4 linked regions of the Mytilus edulis genome follow. The protein of the gene in region 4 purifies or fractionates together with the protein of the main gene of each other region. This does not show direct contact. Links are inferred from orthologs where the notes say so. Each region holds a gene or a part of one and is shown on either strand. Other genes may lie near its edges. The genes, in order: DNA-directed RNA polymerase II subunit GRINL1A-like, DNA-directed RNA polymerase II subunit RPB7, RNA polymerase II-associated protein 1-like and GPN-loop GTPase 1-like.

What was found.
Region 1: the proteins of GPN-loop GTPase 1-like (region 4) and DNA-directed RNA polymerase II subunit GRINL1A-like purify together in Homo sapiens (affinity purification with mass spectrometry; 3 studies listed by BioGRID and IntAct, counting the BioPlex papers as one, with this or other methods). This does not show direct contact. The link is inferred for Mytilus edulis from reciprocal best matches to the Homo sapiens genes GPN1 and POLR2M.
Region 2: the proteins of GPN-loop GTPase 1-like (region 4) and DNA-directed RNA polymerase II subunit RPB7 purify together in Homo sapiens (affinity purification with mass spectrometry; 4 studies listed by BioGRID and IntAct, counting the BioPlex papers as one, with this or other methods). This does not show direct contact. The link is inferred for Mytilus edulis from reciprocal best matches to the Homo sapiens genes GPN1 and POLR2G.
Region 3: the proteins of GPN-loop GTPase 1-like (region 4) and RNA polymerase II-associated protein 1-like purify together in Homo sapiens (affinity purification with mass spectrometry; 3 studies listed by BioGRID and IntAct, with this or other methods). This does not show direct contact. The link is inferred for Mytilus edulis from reciprocal best matches to the Homo sapiens genes GPN1 and RPAP1.

Annotation. Positions count from the first base shown.
Region 1 is NC_092347.1:30,986,482-30,993,392, forward strand, and holds the start of DNA-directed RNA polymerase II subunit GRINL1A-like, read left to right. Parts: upstream 1-3,906; 5' UTR 3,907-3,939; coding exon 3,940-4,015; intron 4,016-4,520; coding exon of another isoform or gene 4,521-4,621; intron 4,622-6,911. Other genes in the region: max-like protein X, read right to left, coding at 535-651, 1,094-1,178, 1,779-1,878, 2,566-2,662, 4,521-4,621.
Region 2 is NC_092346.1:55,903,268-55,910,315, forward strand, and holds the start of DNA-directed RNA polymerase II subunit RPB7, read right to left. Parts: upstream 3,023-7,048; 5' UTR 2,967-3,022; coding exon 2,955-2,966; intron 1-2,954. Other genes in the region: large ribosomal subunit protein uL4m-like, read left to right, coding at 3,185-3,262, 5,274-5,346, 5,585-5,762. UniProt on the Homo sapiens protein: Core component of RNA polymerase II (Pol II), a DNA-dependent RNA polymerase which synthesizes mRNA precursors and many functional non-coding RNAs using the four ribonucleoside triphosphates as substrates.
Region 3 is NC_092346.1:62,500,383-62,507,369, forward strand, and holds the start of RNA polymerase II-associated protein 1-like, read right to left. Parts: upstream 3,013-6,987; 5' UTR 2,901-3,012; intron 1-2,900. Other genes in the region: dynein regulatory complex subunit 5-like, read left to right, coding at 5,607-5,925, 6,615-6,987. UniProt on the Homo sapiens protein: Forms an interface between the RNA polymerase II enzyme and chaperone/scaffolding protein, suggesting that it is required to connect RNA polymerase II to regulators of protein complex formation.
Region 4 is NC_092349.1:17,861,128-17,869,066, reverse strand, and holds the start of GPN-loop GTPase 1-like, read left to right. Parts: upstream 1-4,913; 5' UTR 4,914-4,944; coding exon 4,945-5,073; intron 5,074-7,939. Other genes in the region: serine/threonine-protein kinase 36-like, read right to left, coding at 973-1,113, 1,820-1,903. UniProt on the Homo sapiens protein: Small GTPase required for proper nuclear import of RNA polymerase II (RNAPII). May act at an RNAP assembly step prior to nuclear import.

The sequences.
Region 1 (6,911 bases), on a different chromosome or scaffold from region 4:
CCTTAATCATCAGTTTATTAAATATATCCTTAGTTTTTTTAATTATATGTTAGCAAAATTTGTCACATGTGAAGCAGGAACTGCTTTCCATTCTGGGGTGGTTTTTTTTGGTAGGGTTGCTGTTGCTCAGTTTTTAGTTTTCTATGTGATGTTTCTTACTTTTGTTCATCTTTATGTCGTCTTTTTTTTTGCCATGATATTGTCAGTATTTATTGGACTTTTTGATCTTTGAAAATCCTTCAGTAAATGTATCTTATTTCTATTTTCTCTAGAAGCTGGAGGAAAATATCTTACAATTTTTTCAATAGACCAATGGAAAATGCAATGGGCCATAACATTCATGAATTATCTTGCCCATTACTGTAATTCTAGTGTTTTCCTGTACTTTTTGCTGTATATTTCTTTTGTGTCATTTTCACTAGTCAAAAGGAGGACGGTTCAGAAAAAAAACTATTTGAACATACTAAATATTGATGTGTCTGACTGAGGTCAGGAACCGCATGGTCTAAAATAATTTTGTAACCATTTCCCTACCTGTGGTTTACAATACTCCTCCAACCATTGGAACACACATGCTGACAACTCTGCAAAGTTAGATACTGACACATTGGCATGAAACGACTGGAACAAAGTATCCATGATCTGCTGGAACTACAACAGTTGTAAAACTTATAAACAACATGTAATGTCAACAATTAGAAACAGTCAGAATAGGTACATTAATATATACTGTAAATTCAGAAAATATTGCGTGCATCTAATATTGCCATTTTGTCATTTTAGACTAAAATGCAATTTAATTTTTGCGATATTCAGAAAAATCCTGTTTGATTTAATGCAAGTTTTAAGTACCGTGATTATAACCCTGTCGCAATTTTCGCAATAATTTCTGAATTTACAGTAGTTGCCAATGTAACTAATCAAAAAAAAAAAATACCTTCCTTTTTTTTTTAATTAAAAAGGTCAAAACCATCAAAGATATTCTAAATTTTCTCAAAAAAGTTGAAATTTATTAAATTACAAATAACTTAAAAGACTAAACTCAGGAGTTAAAAGGCATACTGAGCTAATCACATTATAATACCATACTAACCACTTGAAACTTTGCCTCATCAGAAACTTGATTTTGTCCATGAGTTGGCTGATTCTGGTGAGTTTTAACTATATGCTCATAATTCCTGTAACATGAAAAAAATGTGATAGTCATTAGTAGGAATCATTACTGAAATCATTGAATAAATACATTTGGCATTAAGTTTTACTTAAGAATAACCATTACTTGATCCATGATATTAAAATAAACTTGAATCTGTGAGAGCACTAACAAGACTGGTGGGACAGAGGACTGGTGTTTCTATGTCCCCCAAAAAACATGTTGCACAGAGGACCAAAATATACATGCAGTACACTGCATTTTGATTGTGATGGCAAATTACTAATGAAAGATATGTATACTTGTACTGTGAGATGATTACTTGTGAGCACACTATTTCAACTCACAAGGTATGATTTATTGTTGTCGGTCTAATGTCCACTGGCAAATATCATAGATAATAAGAATGATAAGCTGTAAATATGCTATCTTGTTTATCAATTTATGCACCTGTTGATTCAAAATTCAGCTGGTTTAGAAGAAACAAAAACCACATACGCTTTAAATAAATATATACATGTATATCTGCTCATTGTCTAATAGAGAATTTTTTTTATGAGAAATACATGTATCATAATAATGTTATTTATGCTCATATGATACATGTACGGTAATATGTACTCACGCTTTCATAATCTTCAGAGCCATAACCTCTTTCCTTAGATTGTCCAAATCATCTTCTTGCTTTTTCTTTTGTGATACCAAATACTGAATGTAATCAATGGCTACAAAATAGAATGCATCTGGTAAATTGTAAATTTCTACAATTAATCTCATCAATTTTTTTTTAATAATTATAAATATGCAATGTGTGTGAATTAGCTTATTATTAAGACCCTGCTTTGTTGATGACCTTTAATTATTATTAACGTAACTCCTTTGTACATAGCATTGCCTTGTTCGCAATGACTCATTTTATGAAAATAATTTGTATAAACACAAGCCTGATTAATATATATCACTATATGTTATGTTTGTCACAGATCATGTTTTTGATTTATATGGCAATAAAAGTATGTATTTGATTTTGATTAATCCCAAGCAAAGTACTAGCCACAAGATTCACAATAATCGTGTCAATCTCAGATGTTTGCCAACCTATAAGCAATTGTTAGTTACTGCTTGCAAGATGAGGTATTCACTTAGAGCTTAGTTTTACAGTATTAAAATACTTCTCATGTGACTTTTATAACAGAAAAGTGTGTTTTTGTTAGGAAAAATAGTCTATCAAAAATGCTATCCAAACCATAAACTATCCCTAATCATACAACATCATTTGCAATGCCTAATTGAGTCAATTCTATCTGGACTTTCTTTTTTTTCAATCCAGAAGGAATGTCTATTTTGGACATCCTGCCCTTTATAATTGCAAAAAGAAATCTTGAATTGAAAATTTTTAAATATTTCCTTACAACGTTGAAGAACTGTTGCTTTACTGAGTTTCTGAGAGCCAACACTGTCTGTATTCTGACAGGTAGGAACAATATTCTGTAGTTCTTCATACCCTTTCTGTAATGATAAACTTAATATGTTATTTGACGCTCAATTGTATAACAGCTGTACACATGATGATAATGGATCAGTGTTTCATATCAAGTAGCAAATAATACATCCTTATCAAGACAAGAACAGATAAATGAATATGAATCCTGTACTGTATACATACTAGTCAGACTTGCTAAGCCAGATTTTTAATGTAATATTTCATAAGGTAACAATCCACATAAAGACATGCTACTCTCCACAGATACATTATTCTGAGGTCAAGCCAACCAATATTTCTATTACTCCTAAATGGAGGTTGCTTAAGCCTCGGTCACACCTTAAAGAAAAGCTCGAACAGATGCCCAACGGATTACTTTTTTTCAATCCGTTCATGTCCGTTAGACGTTCGTTTTTATCCGTTAGACATCCTTCCATATCCGTTGCATGTCCGTTTAGCGTACGTTTTATCCGTCTACGTCCGTTCTGTCCAGTGGACATTTTAGAGGCGTCCGTTTAGTACGGTACTTGTCCGTTTCGTTTCCGTTTTGTATCCGTTACGTGTCCGTTATACATCCGTTGGAGGTCTGGAAGATAAATTCACCAACGGACTTCTACCGGACATTAAACTGATAAAATGGATGTTGAACGAATGAGAAACAGACTTCTACTGGACTTATAATGGATAAAACGGATGATGAACGGATCTCAAACGGATAAATGCCATTTAAAAATTTCGCGTCAGAAATGCCAGTTATTGGTATGTCAAATTTCTTAAGAATCATGAATTCTTATTATTCATAATCGATCTTAGAGTAAGGGTACCTCTTCATAATCAAGCATCTCTTATTCAGGCCAGACACTGCCCTTTGGCGGCATTTTGAAGAACAAACCAAAATCAGTTACACAGAAACTTTTTGAATATTTTTGCAATTTAAATGTATTATTATTGTTGCCTTTAATTTTTCCGTATATCTTGTTCATCCTTTTTATCCGGTATGCTTCCGTTGGGTGTCTGTTTTATGTGGTACTTGTCCGTTAGATGTACTTTCGACATCCGTTCTGTGCAGTACGTTTCCGTTTCTCGTACGTTGCATATCCGGTGTGTGTCTGTTATGCATTCGTTACGCGTTCGTTTTATTTGGTCAGTACATCAACGGACATCCAACGGATAGCAATTTTGTCAACGGACAACTTTTATTTTCATCCGTTAGGCGTCCGTTCATGCTATCCGGTAAGGTGTGACCACAGCTGTAGAGAAAAGGCAACACATAGCAATTTTCAATTCTTTGATTTGTCGTAGCATGGAATGGGACCTACAAACTTCCACTTTAAAAGTGAAAAGCTACTGCAAGATTAAGCAGCAGTTGTGTACACAGGGTAATTCAAGGATATCTATCCATAACGAAAAGTTTACTACAATCAGTTGATATGAATTATCATGGCTATAACAACTCTTTAACAGTAATTTTTTGGGGCTCTTCAAATTATTTTTTTATTATTATAATTGTACCCTGGCTTTTTTTACAGCAACAAAACCTCCATCAATTAAATAAGGTAATGGGACCAATGCTGTAAATTCAGAAACTTTTGTGAATTTTTATTTATTGTGAATAAGTTGACTTGGTGAAGATTGTGCTTGTTAAAACTTGCATTCTGACTTTAAATATAACTGTATGCAGATTTGACTGAAATCGCAATAATTAATATTGCATTTTTGTCAATTGTTAAATAATAGCATGAACAATTGCACTGAAAAATCCACTTAGATGATGTTGATCAAAATTAGATATCATAACTCACTAATCCCCAAAGCAGACATAATTGCAAAGGCATGCATCTCCACTTACTTGTAAAACGTTTACATTTTTTAAAGCTTTAATACCTTAATGGCATCTCTCCTTTTCTGTTCTGCATGAGTGTGTGCTTCACGTCGACGATCTTTATATGTCATTGTTTGTTTGTTTGTATCACTGTCTTCATCATCTGCAAACATTTTATAACAGTTTTATTCCCAACATTTACAAATGTATGTAATTCCCAACATTTATTACCATAACTGGCTGAGTACATTACACATTTTTGTATAATATGTACCTTATGTCGTCCAAAATCGTGAAAAAAAGTCTTGTTAACTGTAAAAACTAAAAAGTCTTTGATGGGGAACTTTTTAACCACGTAGTTAATCATTGATTAAGTCTAGGTAAGTTTAAATATTAATCACTTAATATTAAGTAATAAACAATAAAATGGATGTATCCAGGGCCGTAACTAGCCTCTTTTAATAGTGAGGCAAAATATATTTGCCGAGCGTAGCGAGGCTAAAAAATTTTGGCGAGGGGTCTGAAGCTCTGAGAAAAATAACGCAAAATCGTGCATTCTGAGCGTTTCCCGGACTTTTTATTTACATTGAAACGCAATTAATTTTTAGCTATTTTTTCGACACGATACTGGTCTCAAAGCTAAAACATAGATTAATTGTAATTAAAGACTTTTAGGTTTCACAGGGACAACATTAAAAGTAGACCAATATGTAGGATAAAGCAACAAGAGGCTGTCACAACGACAGCAAACCGGATTTATTAATATTTATTTGTGTCCTGGCAATATCACAAGAACCATTACTGATGAATGGTGAAAGTGAAAATCATCAATATCAAATTTGACCTCCATTTTGTCATCAGTATCAACATCTTAAAATTTGAAAAGCTTAGATTGAATGGTTCATGAGTAAATGCAACAACGTGAATGGAAACGCCATTTCACAATCTTTCAAGAACCACAACTCCTGAACGGTAAAAGTCAAAATCATCATTATTGAACTTGACCTCTAATTTGCCATCAGTAACAACATATAAAAATTTCAAAAGCTTTGGTTGAATGGTTCATGAGAAAATGCACGGACACGACTGGAAACACCATTTTTCAATCTTTCAAGAACCATAACTCCTGAACGGTAAAAGTCAAAATCGTCTTTATTGAACTTGACTTCTATTTTGTCATCAGTAACAACATATTAAAATTTGGGAAGCTTAGGTAGAACAGTTCATGCGTAAATGCACGAAAACGACTGGAAACTCCATTTTTCAATCTTTCAAGAACCATAACTCCTGAACGGTTAAAGTCAAAATCGTCATTATTGAACTTGACCTCCATTTTGTCATCAGTAACAACATATTAAAATTTGGGAAGCTTAGGTAGAACAGTTCATGCGTAAATGCACGGACACGACTGGAAACTCCATTTTTCTATCTTTCAAGAACCATAACTTCTGAACGGTAAAAGTCAAAATCGCCATTATTAAACTTGACCTCCATTTTGTCATCAGTAACAACATATTAAAATTTGGGAAGCTTAGGTAGAACAGTTCATGCGTAAATGCACGAAAACGACTGGAAACTCCATTTTTCAATCTTTCAAGAACCATAACTCCTGAACAGTAAAAGTCAAAATCGCCATTATTGAACTTGACCTTCATTTAGTTGTCAGTAACAACATATTAAAATTTTAAAAGCTTTGGTTGAACGGTTCATGAGTTAATGCACGGACAACATTTGATTGCCGCCCGCCCGCCCGCCCGCCCGACCGACCGCCCGCCCGACAGCCCGCCGTACATCCCCAAATCAATAACCGACATTTTTGTCACAAAAATCCGGTTAAAAATCGTAAAAAATCATAATCATTAAAACCGGATCTGTCTGTCGTTCTGTTGTTGTCTTGTATAGTGCTTAGACTTTTTTTATTATTTTTTTTATTATATTTAAATATAGTGACAGTGCAACTATTATAATTATACTAGTACTGAAAAGTCGTCACTAAGGACCATCTTGACCTTGTTTTGGGGTATTAATGATTCTTTTATTGTTGAAGACCCTCCAGTAACTATCAAGATGAAGAACAAGAATAAAAACTTTGACCATTGATCATTGTATTTGTTTCTATGCATTGACTTTGTGTGAGATTATGTTCCGTGCACGTTTACTCCATGTTCCTTTATTTTCAGTTAAAGGGTCTGAACTTAATGCAAGTTTAACCCTTCAATGTAAAAGGTCATATTGAAATGCATTGATGTTTTTATAATTTATATAGATGACTTTATACGAGGAAATTAGAGGTCTTACTTTAATTTAATCCATGTCAGCTATCTTTCTACAAAAAAGAGCCAGTTTTCTTTGATATCAAGTTCAATTCTCCATGCAGAAACGATTTTTTTTTGCTGTGTCCAGAATAGCATCGTATATTCTTAAAATATTTTCTCACACAATTTCTGGACATC
Region 2 (7,048 bases), on a different chromosome or scaffold from region 4:
GGCTTGCTATAATAAAAAGCGTATGTTTTTGACGACTTTTTTTAACTCAATATATGGTCATAAAAATGATTTACAGAAAGCATATAAGTTCATAAAGATCTTTTTAAATTTAGTGTGTACATCCAACATGATGACTACGGAAATCGCAATGGACGCCATGTTGGATGTAATATTTAATGTTTAAAAGTCACCAATATGTGCTAATATTAAAATTTCAAGTGTTATTCGGATAATAACAGTGTTATCTGGTCATTCCTGTTACCCCACTCATGTAGGTGCCTGGCAGTTTGATATGGTCATGATGGATGACATGCTGGTCATAAGATGACTGTGATATCTACGTTTGAAGGTGGATCTGGCCAGATATTTCCGAGCAGATGTCTCAGGATGAAAAAATCCAGCACAAATAGAACAGTTGTGGCATTATATTGACCTCAAGACCTGAAAGTTGTTCGGATGGATGGTATGCAGCCCGAAAAAAGAAAAGGGGGAAGAGTGTTAAGACCTGGTGAGATTGAGGGTTTGAATCCTGCTGGTACCATCCATGATTTTTCAAGAGTGTTGAAGACCTGGTGAGATTGAGGGTTCGAATCCTACTGGTACCATCCATTATTTTTCATTATAATTACTTAAGATTTTTGAATGTCATAATTTGTATGAATCCATGACAAATCGCCCCACTGGCAAATCGCCCCACTCCTAATCGCCCCACTTTTTCACAAACTTGCCCCACTTTATAAAAAATCGCCTCACTTATGAAAAAGGGTAAAATCCCATTGCATAAAGGTTGAACAACATACCCCACTTATGAAAAGGGTTGAAATCCCGCTGAAATAAGGTTTGCCAACTAGCCCCACTTGGGACAAATAGATAAACCACAATGAATTTATTAGTGCCAACTCGCCCCACTTATGAAAAAAGATGCAATCCCGTTGTATACCTATGTCCCTGTCCCACTTCAATACCTATGAAAACCTTGGTGCGAGTTGGTGAAAAAGTGGTGCGATTTGGTGTGGGGCGTTTTGCCAGTGGGGCAATTTGTCCTGCTTCCATTTGTATATGTGCTAAAAAATAATTGATGGTCTTAATCTAGGAAAGCGTCCCAGAAAAAAGTTAAAATAGCCTTGCCAGACGTCATAATTATTTGGATAGTCCGAGATTACTCTGACGTCCAACAGCTGTTTTGCCAGACAAGCTGGGGCCGTGGGACGTCAGAGCTCGTCCCATATCAAAAAGTGGATATTTGCCCACCCAAAATAGATGCGCTACTTCGTCGCTTCTGATGCCGACTGACGGCCTTGGAATTATATAAATTGGGCATCAATCTGTTCATTTTTCATTTATCTCTTCATTTATGTAAGTTTCACTACCTGCCAACCTTTATTTTTCCATATCTTAACAGTTTTCACAGTGACCCATCGATTTCGGCATTTTGACTTTTACTTTCAAATGGACGTCAAGTTACGAGAGAGTTCGTGGTCTCGAGACTCAAAATATGCAAATATCAATGTTTAACATTTAGTAGCCAACCACGATTTTTCACCTCCTTTACAGGAGATCGGTATGAAGCATTTAGTTCCGACCACGTTACAATCGGAAGCTCTCGGATATTTAGATAACTTGCATCGTAAATGAACGAGGTGTTACATTATGGTCATTTGCATAAATCATCACTGTTTTCTCGTGGTCACGTGATAATCTTTAAACATGAGAGGCAAAATGCCGAAATCGATGGGTCACTGTGAAAACTGTTAAAATATGGAAAAATAAAGGTTGGCAGGTAGGTGAAACTTACATAAATGAAGAGATAAATGAAAAATGAAGATTGATGCCCGATTTATATAATTCCAAGGCCGTCAGTCGGCATCAGAAGCGATGAAGCAGCGCATCTATTTTGGGTGGGCAAATATCCACTTTTTGATATGGAATGAGCTCTGACGTCCCACGGCCCCAGCTTGTCGGGCAAAACAGCCGTTGGACGTCAGAGTAATCTCGGACTATTATTTGGACTAGTCTTAGTCATGTTCACAGCTTCCTACACAGGCACTTGTTTCTATCCATTGGAAGACCCAGTATCAACGTATATTTACTCGTAAAAAAACGTTGATAGACTTTTACTGTTTTAGTGGGTCTTCCAATTAACAGGTTGGGAACAAACCCCCTGTATGGTGATTATACCTCTACAGAGGGATAATCCTTCTTTAGAGGGATAAAATTATCCCTCTAAAGAGGGGTATTTTTGTTTGCACCTGATTTAAAGCAAATTAGGGCAGAATGGCATTTTCTAGTTATATTGGCTATAATCTCTAGCATTATATGAATCAACATATGCACTTTACTAAAAATTGGGATAACCAGTTTTCTGCTAAAGTGACAAAACTTGCAATCTATTGTAAACCTATCTGAACACCTGATCAAGAACAAAAGGAATAGTTGACCTTTAAATTTCATGTTAAATCTAACAATAGAAATTCTGTTCAGTGAGGCATAAGTGAGTAGAATTTACCTGATCATCACAGCTTTCAATCATGGTGAACAATAGATTTTATATTTAATCAGATAAGCATCAAACTGGGCATGTGCATATTAAATTAATTACATCAATTGGTGCATCAACTGTTCCAGGTTACTGCCATAATAAGTAGAGAATGCCGTTCTGCCCTATTTTGATTTAAATCCAGTCTAAACAAAAATACCCCTCTATAGAGGACTAATTTTACCCCTCTATAGAAGGATTATCCCTCTATACAGGTATAATCACCATATAGAGGGTTCCCAACCTGATTAATGAATAATTTATGGATAGAAACAAGTCAAATGCAAGTGCCTGTGGCTTCATATCACATAGTTTATTAGTTAACAACACTTTTTAAAGTTTAAAGCATGAATACAAAACGAAAGTTTTATATTTAAACGAGTAAAGAGGGAGAGTTTGTGTAGAATTACGAGCTTACATGAAAAAACATTGTTTGCTGAAATTTCACAATCGATGTAAAATTATCTCCCCTTTTTCTGGTACCCAAAGAAATAAGGACCACTATAACAAATTAAGCCAAATTAATATAAAATAATTCGTAAACCAGTAAAGTCAAACTGGTTTTAAAGCAGAAATTCTGTTTTTGTCGTGCTCAACATTACAACCATAACATCTGTACCAGGAAAAAATAATCACATTGGACTAAAAATGTTTTGTTCAAAGCATATATTTTGTAGACTTAATAGCCAAAATTTTAAGAATTTGTTTACATTTACTGCAGCACGTGTAAGATATTCAATTACATAACAGAAGACCTTTCAATTTACATAACAGAAGACCTTATTGTAGATTCTGAGAGGCTGTCAGTCACACGAAAAGGGGGTTGTGTTCTTCAACTTCAAGGACGTCCGACATAGGCTCATAGCCCTTGGCCTTGCTCCACTAATCATAATGAAGCTGCACTTATGAGGGTGTGTGTTCAAGGACATAGCCCTTGACCTTGCTCCACTTATCATAATGGAGCTGCACTTCAGAGGGTGTATGATCACGGATCCCGCTTATTGTTTAGTGAGAATCCTGTATCCTGCTTCTCGATGCCATAATAGCACATAGGATTTCAACTGTTCAGCTGGAGTTCGTTTCCGTGAGGGCAGTAATGCCTTTTACCTTCAGGAGACCATTTTCAGCTACCGTTAGCACCAAACTGGTTAAAATATTACAGTGATCTTTAAAATATCCTTATGGTGATTTTTCAGAGGTCTCAAATAATTATCGCTTTTAAAAATTGTAACAGTTCCTAAAGCGATAGTCCAAGTATGAGCTCATTTCAAATTCTGAGCTTTAGACTGCCCTGAACCTGATGAGTGACGCCATTTTTATTGTTCCTTCAGACATTAAGCCTGGCCGCGATGTCAGGCATGTGAAAGAAACCGGAAGTCCTGACAAGAATATTTACATGACCGGTCTCAGGAGAAATAGTAAAGGAACAATAAATAATACTGACTTTAACCAATTTTCTTAAAGAAATGGTTTAATTAATAAGTAAACAAAGTGACCACTTTAACCCTCCCCTCTCTTAAGAACTAATGTGCCCATGTACAATCTACATATTAGTTCTAAGAAATTAAGTTCGGTGAGGTATACTTACGAAATACCTTACACAGACATAGTTCAATCTAAGAAAGTGGTGGCTAAAGTCAAAAGGACCACTATAACAAACACACTTTTTTTCATTTATGATTTTGATGTCCTGTTACTTCGGTTGTACTCTTGTCAGGACACTTACAGTAATGGTGGGGGGGAGGGGTTAGCAAAATGTAGCTATGGAAAATGTCAGTACAAATTCAGGAAATGCAGTTGTTTTTCACTTGTTCTGTACACGTTGATTGATAGGGTTTAATTTTGTCAGTTTTTTCCATTCTCATTTTTATTTAAATGTAAAGACTTCCTGATTATGAATTTTGAATTTGAGTTCGGTATTTTTGTTTTACTGTTTTATTTTTGATACTATTTTTCACTGTTGCTATATATCCTAAAATTGTGAATTTACTGAGCACAGCTGTTTTGTGCTGTATTGCCATCAAGCACAGCAGGGGTAGAAAAGTGAAACTGGTAAAATGTGGTAGACCATAGCAACAGTATGAAACAGATCTCCTTTCAAAACATACTGCATATAAAGTTCAACTGTGCCAAGCAATGATAAAAAAACTTGTGTGACAAGCTGCTTGACAAGTTTTTCAGCCTTAAAAGTAGAAAGATAGAGTTCTATATGGGCTAAAGATGTTGTTCTTGTATAACCTGTGATTCAACGAATAAACACAAATGTTTGATTAACATCTTTTATTAAAATATGCCCTTTTCATATTATCATATCGCGCGTTAAATGCCCTTTTTCAGGATTGGCACCCTGCCCTTTTGAAAACCTAGCTGGAACACTGTGTTGGCACTCAAATGTCCCCTAGTAGTTTTAATTTTTTCGCTAATATGTCCTGCGCCCCTTTACAAATGGTCACATCCAGGTACAGAGTATGAACACTGAGCTTCACAATAGGAAAAGGAAATTTTATATAATCATGAGTAATTACTAAAACTTAGCCTAAAATCAAACAGTAATATCACCAGTGATATTTCACTCCTTCAGTTGTTTTTCAAGATTTGAACAATTTTTCATATTTGACATGTTTGATTTCTATGTTTCTTTATGATAAATAACAATAGTTTGCAAATGGATTTGGACCTAGCCTGTGTGCATCACATGATTCTAACTAATGATAATTATCACATTTGGTTTTAACAGAATGTGACAACAACAGGAAGTTTGAGGGCAGAAGACAAAACAGATGTTACAGGAGAGTTAGAAACAGCATCAGGTAATTATGTCGGTTTGTTAGAATTGTGTATTTTACAAAAATTTTTATACATGTCTGGCATACTTATTTATAAGCCTTACATCATCATGATCATTGTTGACTTTAGATGACATCCTTTTGCTAGAATTTTTTGTAATCCATCTTTAAAAGTATTTCATTGAGGGAAACCAAAAAATCCCAATTGTGTCACCTTTATGTTTGCCACACATTAAATCTATGTATACACTTTTTATGACAGATCCACACCTTTATGTACCAGATAGACCACCATTGCCAATTGTTACATCAAGACAACTGGAATATCCATCTGAGCATCTGCCATCCAAACAAGCATGGTTAGATACAATGGCAACACTGGAAGATGAAAAGCTTGGTATTGTAGATCTACATCCAAAAATATTTGGCACCTATCCAAGGTATCCAAGTTAAATAGAGTTTCCAAAGTTTTATGTTATGCTTTTGGCCTTAATGAGTCAAAAATGATTTGAAACTGAAACAAGATACTTTAACTTAGAAACAGTAATATTTAGTTTCTGAAATATATTAAAGAGGAATGTCATTACAGTAAATTTTTGAAAAAATATTTAAGGAATAACTGTAATATTTTTTCTGTCTATGAAGAAATAACATTAAAATGTGGTGCACACTGAATAACCCGCATAGGGGTTATTTTAAAGTGTGCAACACATTTTTTTATGTTATTTCGAAAAGACAAAAAATATTACAGTCATTTCTTAAAATTTAATTCTAAATTCCATTTTAAACCAGAATAAACCATGAAAAAACGTTGATGACGTCAGGGTCATATGACAAAATTATGAACTGATAAACAACATCAGCATCAGAAGACGCCTTACATCTAAAACTAAATTATTTCATAATAACCAACTAAACTATGCTTTTCAAATAAGCTAGATTTTCTCATCTAATCTGAATTTATATATTTACCAATATGTCATAATTGTATCATGAACCAGGCATTATACCTAGATTTTCAGTGTATCCAAATTGTACAAAACCAAGTATTTTTTTGTCATACATCAATGTACATAGAAAACATTTTTGTTCGCTTTGGAGATTCCGTATATTGTCAGGTTATCGAAATATCAATGGGGACTAACTGTGCACCACTTGACGACTTGTTGCGGACCTGTTTTTGTATTGCTATGAGTTACAATTTATGACAAAAATCAGCAAAGACCCATCGAAACAACATCTGATAAACAAATTTAATAATACTTATAGATATTTGGATGATATTTTGGCTTTCAATAATGACGACTTCAGTATGTATACTAAAGAAATTTATCCTGTTGAACTTACTTTAAATAAAACTAATACTAACAATGACCACTGCCCTTTCCTCGATCTTGATATCTATATCACTAACAGAAAGCTTAATCGTTAATTATCCATTTTTAGATGGTGACGTTCCCTTGTCACCATCTTACTGTGTTTATATATCTCAACTTGTACGATTCGCTCGTGTATGTAACAATGTTTTAGATTTTAACGAGAGAAATTTATGTATTACTGAAAAATTATCACACCAGGGTTTTTGATATCACAAACTAGTCAAAACATTTACTAAATTTTATCATCGATTTAAGGACATCATTCGTAAATATAGCTCAACATGCAGACTTCTTATACGTTCAGGTATTTCACATCCAATTTTTTATGGAAATATTCTTTATAAAGC
Region 3 (6,987 bases), on a different chromosome or scaffold from region 4:
CCTGAGAAAATTGTTACGAAAATTTTCACAACTTGGCTATCTTGGGTAAAATCATACAAGTGTTCGGTAAACAGGAAGTTGTCAAGTGATGAATCTTAAAACGCATCACACGGTATAGCTGACTTATATCAAGCCTGATACCAAATTTCAGAAATCCTTGTATTGTACAAATGTTGTAGTTCCTGAGAAAAATGTGACGAAAATTTTCAACTTGGCTATCATGTGTAAAATCATACAAGTGTTCGGTAGACAGGAAGTTGGCGATTGATGAATCTAAAAACGCATCACACAGTATAGCTGACTTATATCAAGCCTGAAACCAAATTTCAGAAATCCTTGTAGTGTAGTTCCTGAGAAAAATGTGACGAAAAATATTCATGGGACGGACGGACTGACTGACAGACTGACGGACTGACGGAAGGACAGACAGAGGTAAAACAGTATACCCCCCTTTTTTTCAAAGCGGGGGTATAATGACCCACTGGATAAAAAGAAATATAGACCTGTGAGCATTTTACCAACAATTTCAAAAGTATATGAAATGGTTATGTCTGACCAGTTGACTGAATTTTTTGAGAATATATTTCATGCTTTTTTATGTGCATTCAGAAAAGGTCATGGATGTCAGACAACTTTGCTGAGACTCCTTGAAGATTGGAAAACAGCCCTGTATAATAATATGTATGTGGCAGCTATTCTTATGGATCTTTCAAAAGCTTTTGACTGTTTACCACATGATATTCTTTTAAGTAAATTATCTGCCTACGGTCTTTCTTTTAAATCAGTGAAATTACTTCAAAATTATCTTACAGATCGTAGGCAACAAATCAAACTTCAGGGAGTACTCAGCAGTTGGGATGAAATCCAGAAAGGGGTACCCCAAGGCTCAATCCTGGGGCCCCTATTATTTAATATTTTTATAAATGACATATTCTATTTTATTGAACATGGTACCCTATATAATTATGCTGATGATAATACTCTGTCATATGCAGACAACAATTTTGAAAATTTATTATGTACACTTGAAAGAGAAAGTGCTGTTTTAATTGACTGGTTTAGTTTTAATTGTATGCAGGCAAATCCTGACAAATTCCAAGCCATTGCAGTTGAAAATAAAACATTTGCAAAAAAGCCCGTTTTTGATATATACAGTCAGCAAAAATATCCTGTGATGAGATTGTCAAACTTTTAGGTATTGATATTGACTATCAACTTAATTTTAATCACCACATTAAAAATATTTGTCGTAAAGCATCCCAACATCTGAATGTTTTAAAGCGCATTGGCTGCTACCTTACTAAATTGAATAAATTTACCATTTTCCACACATTTATTTTATCTAATTTTAATTTTTGTCCTTTGGCATGGCATTTTTGCAACAAAAATAACACCACCAAATTGGTAAAAATTCAGGAAAGGGCTTTACGATTTATATATGAAGACTATGTTAGTTCATATGATGAACTAATTTTACGAGCAAAGGTTCCATCATTGAAAATAAGACGTATGCGTAACATGGCTATTGAGTGTTTTAAGATTTTATATAAATTGTCACCACCATGCTTACATGATTAAGTAGTATTGAAAGATTGTAAATATAATTTTAGAAATTCTAATATTGTAGATATACCAGAAAATATATTTTCGTCTCTCTCGGGAGTTTAACACAATATGACAATGAAAGACAGTGTGTACCTAATAATTCCCGCCAACTTTTACATTATTGAAATCTAAAATACCTAGCCTTCCGAAAAACATAACATTGATGGTAAATACCTGAGAGTGCTGAAAATATATTTCCGGTAGGTGTCACTTTAGTACTTTCATTTTCAAATGTAGGGCCTCGATTCGTTCTATTTCAGAAATGTCAAGTTTGTTTTAAGGACTGCAATAGTTATATGGGAACGAAGTCCCCAATAACAGTAGAAAATTCAATAAAAAAAAATTAAAAAAAAAATATCGGGAAAATTTTTTCATTGTACTAATGAACTCAAAATCATTCAATTTTTTTTTTGTCGCGTTTTTGAATTTCCAGATCTGCGCAGAAATCTACAATGTACTTCCTTTTTCCGGTCTCGTTTGTATGAAACTTTGAGTAAAATATATATTTATCAGTCTTGTATAAAATAGGAAAGAACGCAATACCAATTTCATTTTTTATAATTCCTCGATATGAAAAAACGTTACCTGATGATAGCGTTTCTTTGTTTACATTGTATATGACGTCATTACTTAAATAACGTCACAACTAAAATCCCTAACAACAGGTCAGAACCAAAATCCGGGAAACGTTACGGTATTTCCATTTCTTTTTTTTTTTTAACAAATATTTAAGGTACAAAAAAATAATTCCTATAGACTTCGTCCCCATTTACAGGTAATGCCTGCCTCATATTAGAGGTTACTTAAGGTAATAAATATATGTCATCATGGTCATTGCAGAGATAATTCAAGTGGGAACAGATTTATTCAGTTCACAAAGGAAGTGAAAGTCTTAGAAAAATTTTACAGCAATAATTTGAAGCATTGTCGCAAATGAGCTTCCTCCCTTGTGTTTTTTTTTGGGTTTCGTATGGATAGTAAACCCGGCAAATTTATTGTAACAAGCCCCTGTGCTGTGCTTCTACCACTATTAAAGTGACCACCATCATTAGGTTGACTGTCCTGTAAATGTTTGTTGTGCGCTTGTTTACCTTGGGAAATCGTGGTACAGTTGTATATAAGATCTTTAATTTCGGGTGATTTTCAACAGAACCAAAATCGGAGAGCGTTTATACGGTATTTCCTATTCTTTTCTAACACATTTTGAAGTTACAAAAAAAAATCATACAGACTTCGTCTCCTTTCACAGGTAATGCCTGCCTCATATTATCTACTTTACATTTAATTCAATATACCTGAATTCATATGAAATGGGATATATTTAAATGAAAATGAAAAACTATGTCAGCAGAAAACCTGCAGATGGGCGCAGCCATTTTGTTTTTCCACCGGATACGGAACTCGCTTGAAAATCTACTTCCGGATTGTCATAGTAACGAGAAGCTTTTAGAAGATCATACTGCAGAGTAAACTGGTAAATTCTATTCTATGTTCAGACTTTTGCGTCACTTAAATGGCAAAATAAGTCTTAATATACTCTTATATCAAAGACGTTTCTGTATATAGTGTGTAACATAATTAGAGCAAATAATTATCACAAACCTTTGGGCTTGACATCAGTCATCACAGTATCAGAATATTTTGTTACTCACATGTACTACTATTTGAGGAATCCGGGTCCGTTCGCCCTGATTTTTATTTTTTTCTAGTTTTTGTCTAGTCGCATTATTTTAAGTATTTGAACAAAATATGTTAAAGTTTGGTTTTTTTTTTTAATTTACAGAATATTTATATTGCTGCAATCAATTTATCATTTTCCCTTTGATTTGCAGAGTAGAATACTGGAATACAATGTATTCATCTTTATTGATATAAATTGTTAACAAAATGATTGTATTCAGTCAATCACGAATGTATGGCAGTATGACTAGTCTTTATAGACTAGAGTATAAATAAATAAACTTGTAAATTTTATCCGTTTCATAATTTACAGTTGTACATCATTGTTTTTATTAATTTCAAGCTGAATATTTTATCAAAACAACAGATTTGTTTTTATTATTAATCGGCCAAAAGACAAGTATGACACAATAATCAGTGATTCAAATTATTTTGTCAGTGAACAATTAATTATCCTAAACAAGCCATAAACTTTTAAATATTTCAATAAATTTCAAGAATATTATATACATGTACATACCATAGAAATATCTATTTTCATTCAACTTCAATGCCCTCAATATTAATATTTTTATAGTAGGGCGAACAAACCCTATGGGTGAACGAACAGACCTAGGGGGAACATGTTTTAAGGGGGAACGCTCCCGATACCCTACATGAGGGTTGTAATGCCCTTTACCTTCAGGCATTAAACAGTCATTTACGGCTACCATTAGGGTCAAATTGGTTAAAATTTTACCATTATTCGTCAAAATATCCTTATCGTAATTTGTCAGATGTCTCAAATATTTAACGTTACTGTTATATTTGGAGAAAAAAAACAGAGTGATTTATCAAATTAAGCTGGTTTTTTTTAACGTCATGCACTAAAAATTACTGTTAACTTCATACGACAAGAATTTTTACTGTTATACACCATGAAGGTACCCCCATTACTACCCTCCTACATGTATATTATATACATGTAGTACCATCTATACAGATGGGGTACAAGATCTGACTACCAATTCCAACAATATGGAAGGAATTTCAAATATGTTGCTTTATCCTTAACAATGACTAGTTCTTGTCATATATTATTCATAACAAGTACTCACATCTTGAAATTAATAGCCATTAAGATTAATTTTACAAAACCACACTCATTTAGGCAAATGCAAACATCTTAAGACAGCTTTAAATGATATGAGACAGGCATTACCTGTGAAAGGGACAAAGACTGTATGAATTATTTTTTTTAATTAAAACATTTTAACTTCAAAATCTGTATAAAAAGAAACACAAATACTGTAAGGTTTCTGATTTTCGGTTTTGGTTCTGTTGTTAAGGATTTTATTTGTGACGATATTTAAGTTATGACATTCTGAATTGAAAATGCTGTAGATGAAGTCTTTATTTAAATTTTTAAAAATCACCCCTGTATACTTCTGCAGTCAAAGAGCTCAGCATTTTTTTGGGTATAAATTGACCATGACAATACCTATAGCTTGGCAATTGATCAAAAATAAAATAATAAATGACTGTCAGAGAAAAAACTATTAGATGTTGAAATCAAAATTGGTCAAATAAAAGGTATATTGAATTTATTTAACTTTAATTTTGTCTTCATATTTTTATCAACAAATTACAATATTAAAAGCTAGTTTAGAATTAAGGTATAAATAGACTCACTACACCAAATTGTTTAACACATTCATTTATACATTGTAATGCTTTAATAATATGTTGTTATATTTTCTGTGAATGATGTAAAATTCATAATTAATTAACTGTGATTGTTGTCTTTTAAAATGACAATTTTGTGAACACTAATTATTAATTAGTGACAAAATTTGAAAACTTTTTGATAAGCTGTCACATGTCATGGACCAGAACTTCCAATTAGATTTAAAAACAAATAACCTAATTACATTTTTCATTAAAAAAAGTAAGTCAATATTCATTTGCAGTGGATCTGACTGTTATTCCTTTTAAGTTAAATATACCACGTACATGTATACAGGTAAAGTGCTTGAATTAACTTATAGATATTTTCAGTTGGTTTCAATGCTAACAAAAATATTGAAATACAATTTAAGTAGTATCTGGATTAGGCTCCTCTTTTTGCTAGAAAATTTACTACAGATCATGTAAAATTAACATACATGTAATGGGAGAGTTATAATATAAACCTAACATTTGCAGTTGTAGTACACTTTTCTCCAGTTTAATTTAATAAGCTATAGGACTACAGTGTCTAAGAGGCACAGATTTGTTAAAACTTTTACATAATTATTTTTTAAATGAAAACTGATTGCAATGATTTATTATTTTTAGCCAAGATGTCTGATCCAGCAGTAACAGATGGTACAGGGGAAGATAAAATTGATGACGATGCCAAAAGTACAAAGAGTGGACCAAAAAGTCAGCCTGGTTCTAAACAACCATCTAGAGCTGGGTCTGCTCAATCAGGGAAGAGTGGGAAGAGTAGTGGTAGACCAGCTATGGCAGCAACTCCTGCTGGATCTGTTAGGGGAGATAATCCAGCAGCTGACTGGAGACAGATGAGGAGAATTATAGCTGAAGATCCAGCATATTCACTGGCAACTGTCCCATTACTGGTGGATTTGTGTATCAAACATATAGTTACACATTTTGATAGTAAGCAAATAGTTTTATATCATAAATTTCTAAAATAATTATACATTTACAGTAGGAAAATGTTAAACATAATTACAATAACCTTGACTTACTTTTAGGATAAAAGCCGATTCTCAGAAACTGTTCATTCTTTAATTATAATGAAAATTGTGGTGAAAATATTACTAACTTTTGCCTTTGATAGTTTTCTATACAATATTTTTTTTTGCTCATTATTGAAGGCTATAAGGTGAACTGTAGTTTTAACATCCTTTCCTTTGATATCTGGTGGATAATTTCATATGTAATCTTACTACATCCCCTTTCTTTAATATATTTTACATTGATTGGGGTTTTTTTTTCTGTTGTCATAAATTGATGTATATTACATAAATACTGGATGCTTTTAGTTTTGGGTATGTTAAATGGATCAATCATCTAAAATGAATTACTTTGATTTACTCTAAATCACACAAAACACTTAGAAATTTAGATATAAATGACAAAGCTGTTTGAATTATTTATATCATTAATGCAAAGGCTTCGTGTTGAAGACCATACTTTGACCTACATGTATAATTGTTTACTTTTTCTAATTGCGACTTGGGTTAGGAATTGACTAATTTTCACTCATACCACATCTTCTTATATCTGCATATGTTTTTCATGAATTATCATAAAAAAATAACTGATTTCCATTTTTTTTTCAGATAACTCTACCATTTTGAATGACCTCCCACCAAGATACAAGTCTAAAGTGTTGGACAAAATCTCCACTGACATACCTTTGAAGATTACTGCTAATCTGGTACAGGAAGAGGATTACTGGAACAGATGCTGCAAAGCAAGATGGGAAATTTGTGATGTTTCTCAATATGGTGGCAACTGGAAAAGAATGTACTTTGAGAGAAACCTCCAACAAATCGTAGAAAATTTCGTACCAGAGACAACAGACCCCAATGAATTAAATGAAACTCTGCCCTTGTCTGCCAACTATGTTAAAAAGTTAGATGTCCAGCAGTTACTTCCCCCTGTTAGAGAGGCCCCAAAAGGTCCAGATTTTGATGATGCATCCGATGCTGG
Region 4 (7,939 bases):
GACTTCCGTTGATGATCACCTAAAAACTACTCAATCGGCGTCTTTTAATCTTGTTGTATTTTCTTTTGAAAAGAAAGAGTGAGATAAAACAAAATGAAGAGGAATCTAAATTTTCTCAAGTCTCTTGTATCCAAGAATAAACAATTTTGTCAACTATAAACGACCTGAATAACGGAACTATCAATTGGAAATTACTCTCTCGGATAAAAGCCATAGAAAAAGGTTGTAACGGAAACAATTGAAAAAGTAAAAATAATGTTATTATAATAATGAAAGACCTTGACATACAAGTACATCGGTCTGATACCAGAATATCGATCCCCTTCCAATATTCACCCGGATTTATTTTAGCTTTACCAAGCTAAGCAAGAGTTGTGTCCCTTGTTCTGTCAAACTTCTGGTTTTGAGTCGAACTATGTGTATCTCGAAATATTTCTCTGGTCCGGCTGACTTCGAAATAACGAGAGTCGACTGTATATCAAAGTGAATTATTTTTACAATCCCATAAAAATTATCAAGTTTTGAGATGTAAAAACATGCTTTTAATGATTTTTCCCAATGTAGCTCATAATTTTTTATTAGAGTTCAAGACATGTGCAAAGGGCAGAAAATTTTTTAATTCTATTAATAAAGCAAAGAAATCATAAGAATTTAAGAAATGAAGATACATCAAAAGGATGACTTTTTCACTTATATAAGTAAAAAAATTTGACTGAATGTCTAAGGAACATAACTAAGCCAATTGTTTTTTCTATACAAGTAAATATAATTCACTTGTGTTAATATCATACAAATTTACTTATATACAATGTAAGTATATTAATATTACTTCTTCAAGTAAATAAAAATTACTTGTACAAGTAGAATCCCTTACTGACAGTGGCAATCCTTATTAATAAATTTTCACAACTTGGAAAAAAATGATATGCATATTTAGAATAGGAACATGTTTATGTAATATTAATATCATACCTCTTTGTCAGTTTCAAAACTGTCCAACATTTCAATAATATTTGTATGATGTAAGTTTCTCATAATCTCTATCTCTCTTCGTAAGTTTCTTAACTCCTTTTCTGGTTTTCCTACTTTTGGAATGAATTTTAAGGCCACCACCTAAAATAAATACAAGATATTATTTTACTGGATATTACTACATAATTGTTATTTTAAATTGTAAAGTAGAAAAGTTTGGAAGCTCTTCTATCTTTATAAATTCAAATGTACAATGATGTATGCATGGTTTATTCCTTTTTTTTTTTTAAATAATTAAGGTGGTACCTAACACTACAGGGAGATAACTCTGTAAATATCAGCTAAGCGTTTTAATGGCAATGTATTGTTAAGTTTCTCAATGATCAAAATGAGTGTTTGTGAAATTATAATATAACCAAAGAAATTTTTCTGATAAAGTGGTTGGTTTAATTTTTTTTTAATTTTTATATTTTTGTCAAAATTTTATCAAAATTAAACGAGCCAAATTAATATACGTCAAGGTGTTGGGTACCACCTTAAGATGATTGATTGTTGCTTGGATAAAGTTCATTTTCTAATGATTTTATATCTTCAAACATGGGCTTGTTATTTGCATCATTCCATCATGTTATATGCTTTTCTCCAACTAAAAAAAATAATCAAAATCATCCACCACAAGCATTTGCATTGCTCTACAAACCTTAAATATAAAAAGGTATAAAAAAAAGATGCAGTTGATACATTTTTGCAATAATTACGTCATGCCTTTTCTTACATTGACACACACATTTTCTATTTGGAAACGTGTTGTGCATGATTTTTATGTGTACTGAAGACATGTTTTTACCTGTGATGAAAACTTTTTTCTCCCTTTATACACTTTACCAAAAGATCCTTCACCAATAATTTCCAGAACATGATAGTTGTCCATTTTCTGTTTATTCTCTCTGGAAAAAAGGTTATAATTACTTGTACATGTATTGCATTACTTTTGATAACTAATGTTTGTAATAAACTATTTTCATATTTCTAATTTTTTGACTCCAGATTTTATAATTTTTCAACAGGTAATCTAATCTGTAGCTAATGACAATGTTAATGTGCTTGTACTTTACATCAATGCATACCAGTATGCTTTTCTCCATATCTCAAATACTAAAGAATGATTTTTTCAGTAGTTTAAGCAAGAAAAAAAACAAGAATGTGTCCATAATACATCTAGTACAGGAATGCCCCGCTCGCACTATCATTTTATATGTTCAATAGACCATGCAGGTCTGACCTTGAAATTGGGGTAAAAACTCTAATTTGACATTTAATCAACTTCATCAAAAACTACATTGTACCTTAATCAAAACCTTAACCTAAAGCGGGACAGACATATGAACAGACGCACATACTAAGAAACATAATGCCCCTCTACTTTAGAAGTTGGGACATGAAAAAGAAGGGTGTTTATAGTTGATATAATGAAGACATACTTCTATGTCTTACAAAATGGTTTATTTACTTCAATAAAGTAATATATATGTTCCTTATTACAATTTTATCAAGTGTAATTTTTTACTTGTTACTTTGTACACACGCAATGCAGACAAAAAATACTTGTATCACTAGTGTTTAAATGAATGTCAGACGAGTAAAGCACACCATTTCCACACCCTGGTTTTTATTTATATAATAGACTGCAACTAAAAATAAACATGAACATGATGAATATTCAACTTAAATAAATTTGGTCATGAGATTGTGTGAAATGTGCATGATGTCACAGATGTGTGATACCCTGAAATTTATCAAGGTTGACAGATAATAAAGTTTTGAACTACATGTTATGGTATACATGTGTCTCAAATAAATTGCTGAAGACAATAGCAACTGAAAGCGAGTATGGTGAACAACTGGGCGACTATATTTCTCTTTTGACTTCCAGCAAAGTGACCAATAGGAAAGCAAATTTATTGCCCCAGTCGCCTGCTAGCGCGAGCCTTGATTCAAGACATCCATGCCTGCATGCATAAGATAATTTGGAAAAACTAAAAGAAGAACTAAAACAGAATGCCAAGATACCAAACTCATAAGTCAAAACATGATGGCAAAAAAAAAAAAAAAAGAGAACAACTTGCACCAATGTAACCGGAGAGCATGATTTTACTTGTCAAATAATTGCATGTCTCCACTGGGACTCGAACCTCTGTGTTTCAAGGCAGCTCATTAACCGACTGAGCTAAAGAAATACTTCCTGTCACAATACTAAAGTTCATGACTGATATGATGATGAGTGACAGTGTCTTCCCAATCACTGTCTGTTAGTCCTAGTTCATTTGAAACTCTGGAGTTAACTTTACTTACTTGGGTTTCAACAAAACGATTTTACTTGAAACACTCGAGTCGAATCCGGGTCCATTCGCGCCCATTCACGTTCGGACCCACTCATGTTCGCCCCCTTTCACTTTCGCACCCTACATGTTCGCACCCATAGTCGTGTTGACACCCTACATGTTCGCGCCCAATTTTAATTGGTTTTGTGTTTAATAACTTTGTTATCAAGTTTTGGCAAGTGTATTCTTATAAGTATAATTGTTGTCATTGTCCATGTTGTCTCAAAATAAAGTGAGACAGCATTTTTTTATTTTGTGTTGAATAAATCTTAATCATGTTTCGGAAAGTGTATTGTTAAAAAAAAATAATAATCCTTTCTAAATAAAGTCATGAGTGGGATTCTGTCAAAGTTTTATTTTGTGTTGAAGAACTCTTAATCATGTTTTGGTTAGTGTATTGATAAACTTTGTTTCACTGACTTGTTTCAAAATAAAGTGAGATTCTGACTACGTTTTTTTTTTGTGTGTTGAATAAATTTTATCATGTTTTGGTTATAATTCGTGTATTGCTATATTTTATTGTTTCATTGTTACAGATCAAAGGGACCAAGCTGTTAAAAACAATTATCTTTTGTGTTTTTCATTTAAAATCTTCAATGTTTTACTCATACCAAGCTATAAATACATTCAGTATTTACACCAAAGCAATTTAAAACAACAATCATGATTTTCCAATTATTCAACTGGAATTTGAATTAAAATTGGACGCGAAGGTGTAGAGTGCGAACAGACCTTGGGTGCGAATGTACGAGGTGCGAACGTGTAGGGTGCGAAAGTGTATTGGGCGCGAACGGACCTGATACCACTTGAGTCAACCCCTCGTACCCTGGTTCCAACCCTCACCGAGCCAGGGTTAAACTTGAGAAACTCTTGAATGATGTCAAACCAATGAGAATATCTTATTTTTTATGCTGGGTCAGAGTTACTTAGAGTTGTTCCGAATATCAACTCTTGTGCGTTCACGTGATAATCTATTAACTCTGAAGTCGATTAATTTTGTAGAGTTTCAAGTGAACTCGGCCTTAGTGTTACAGGCCATTCATTAGGAGGCGGTACCCGGTACTTGTACCCTCCTATGCTATTGACAAGTGCCGCCTAAATGTAGGAATTTTTATATAAGATATTCATGGAATAAATTGAAAAGTACCACCTAGAAATGTGGAAAGTACCAGTCAACATGAAAGATAATGAAACCCCTGGTGTTAGAGCCAGTGAAGCCCTCGTTTTCTTAGAAACAATAATGTATCCAGTGTCTGGGGTGAATGTTTATGCATAATCGACAAATTACCTGCCAGGTTAAGAGTTAATTTGTTGTTTTGTCGATTTTTTTTTTAGATTGTTTACATCGTTGCTGCTTGTTTCAAGTTCCCCTCTTCCGGAATTCCAGCGCTTGCGTACCATTGTATCATCTATTTTCGTATTAAAAAAATAAGAAATAAGATAAGTTGTAATAGTAATGAGATCAAAAAAACAATCCTTATTTTAAATCTATAATAATCAGTTTATAATATGATACTATTATTTTCAACAGATATTTACAAAAACATACGAAAATAATGCTTCAACTAATTTGCTACTTATTTTCTGAAAAATGGCATGTTGTGAAAAAGTTGATGATAAAATTCCATCAGAAACACGAACAGAAGCACATACAATGAAAAAACCTACTTGCATTATAGTTCTTGGGATGGCAGGATCTGGAAAAACAACATTTGTTCAGGTGACAGTCGTCGTCGGCTAAATAATTTCACTTATTTTGCCTTGTTTACACATTTTTAAAACCACTGCAAAGCCAAAGCCAGACATATCATTATATCCATTAAAAATATACAATACAAGAATGTTATATCAATCTTAATTGCAAATCTTTATATAAAGAATTAACTATAGTTACTGATTTTTTTTATTAAAAAATAAACTGCATGTCCGGTATCGGGATCGTTCGCCCTGATTACATGTTCGCCCTAGGTTCGTTCGCACTGAGTTTGTTCGCCCTGGTATTCCGTTCGCCCTGAGTTCGTTCGCCCTATTCTCATAAATGATATGTATATGTTATATGTAATATGTTTCATTAATAAAAGAAATGTATATTTATATATATTAAAATTTATGTTTATCTATTAAAGCTGAATACAGAATATTAATTAAATAAAATTCGTAGCTGCATTGTTACACTCAGTTTATTTTATAATTACTTTTAATTACTGTTGAATGAATTTTGATTGCTGATTAGGTATAATTTGAAATCTTTGATATCACTGATTGTTGTATGAATTGTCTTTGATGGATTAATAATGAAAATAAAATTTTTCTCAAATAAAATAGTCAGCTTGGATGGGTAAAAACACTGATGTACAAATTGTTAGGCATGAAAGGGAAATTATTTTCGCAGCTTGGCTTCTTTGATCTCAAGTGCGTTTTGACAAATTTGTTATATATGCAGCCAAGCACGCAGGTGTTTCCTTCTACGTCCTAATTCCAGATCTTATGACAGAAGCAGAAGTCGTCGACTACAGTGTCCGTGCCGAAGACCTAGAGCGTGACATCCATAGGAAGTACACCATCCTAGAAGAGAAGATCCAGACAGCATGGGACCAATACATTGGCAATGTGATCACAACAACACACTTTCTGAAAGTTATTGCCAAACTGTACAAGCCGTCCGACATATTCAATTAAATACACACAACACAACACTATAATAAAAAATAAAAATCGTAAATATTCGGCGAAATTGTAGACTGACTTCAACATATTCAATTAAATACACACAACACAACACTATAATAAAAAATAAAAATCGTAAATATTCGGCGAAATTGTAGACTGACTTCAACATATTTAATTAAATACACAGAACACAACACTATAATTATAAAAAATATAAATCAGGGCGAACAGGTATCAGGGCGAACGGTCTCAGGGCGAAAAGGAACTAGGGCGAACAGTAACTAGGGCGAACAAAAATCAGGGCGGACGAGGGGTCTCATCATGCTCATTGGGGGTTCTGATCCCGGATCCCGCTTACTGTTTTGTCTGATTCCCATATCCCGCTAACACTATGTACGTAAGCAATTCTCTTTTTTTTTGTAATTTCACGTGTCCCGCTAGACTCCATTTCCCGTTTTCATGGCATAATAAATTGACTTTCACGTTTCATGCTTACCAAAAAAACAGCAATCCCGCGTCACGCTTAGACCCCAATGAGACCCACGTACAATATACAGTCAGGAGTGCTACTTAAAAATTGCATATATTCAAATAAGCTGTAAAACTTAGAATTAAAGCTTATCAAGCAAATGACAATTACTGCATGTACATAGTTGTTTTTTCAATGTAAATCAGGTCTTTTTACCAATAAAAAAATCGAGTTTGTGGGAAAAATATCCCAAAAATGTTATAAACACTTATTGAAGTGATTAAATTTTAACTTCTCAAATTACTTGTTTCAGTGATTTTGAAAAGTCTGTGCGAAAATTTTAAATATTTCACAGGCAAAATCACTCAAAGAAGTGATTTTGAAATCATTTTTTTTATTTACCACCCCTGACTGATATACAAATACTTTTGAACATGTTGAAATTTTTTTTCTTATTTAATACACCTAATCGCTAATCCCAGCTGAACCGGCTGCTTGAACTTTTGATGCATACAGCAATCACTTTTCCATTGTGGCGTCAGATATTTTGTTGTATGACGTCAACATTTTATGAGAACCTGTGTGATATCCAGTAATGGCGGTCAGATAGCAATAAGGTGTATTAAAAAATATACTACATGTACATTATCTGTGAACAGTCAGGGGACTTACTTAAATGAGTGATTTTCTAAATCACTGATTCAAGTAACATTATTTCCACAAAGGTTGAAAGTAAGAGTTGTCTTTCTTTAATAATCACCTATTTTAGTAGTACAAATTAATCACTAGAAGAAGTGATTTAATTTTATTGAAGCTTTAAATATAGAATACCAATGATCAAGGGACTAATTATGTTTCTAAAATTATCAGAACCAACATCTGTGTTTTTGGATGACTACATGTAGGTCATTTCAGGTGATGACCTTGTACTGAATCTAGGATAATGACATAAAAATCACTTGTTTAAGTATCATACCTCAATTTCCTTCCCAAAAATCACTTCTTTAAGTATCGTTATTTTAATAACCCCCACTAATTTCAACACCCCCGAACAGTGAAATTTTTATCACAAACAGTAGAATTTTATTACATAATCTGAAAGATGAAACCTTGAACTTCACAGGAAAAATACTTCCACTGCTGAGAAAAATCTGTTAACAAAGTATCAGTTCATTATGTAAAGCCAATATTATAGCATTTTTTCAATTAAAATAGAATTTGCAGCTAAATGATAGCATTAAAGGCATAAACCTTGCTACTTAAAAGAAGCAAAAAGGTATTTTTTTTTCAATTTTACTAATGAAAAGATATTATTTAAACCTATGTGTTTAAAATTTTGGTAAAACTACAAAATCCCAATTTGTGACAAAACTTTGAATTTGCTACTTAAATAAGTGATTTAAAAATCACTTATTTAAGTAAGTCCCCTGACTGGTGAAGAATGTTG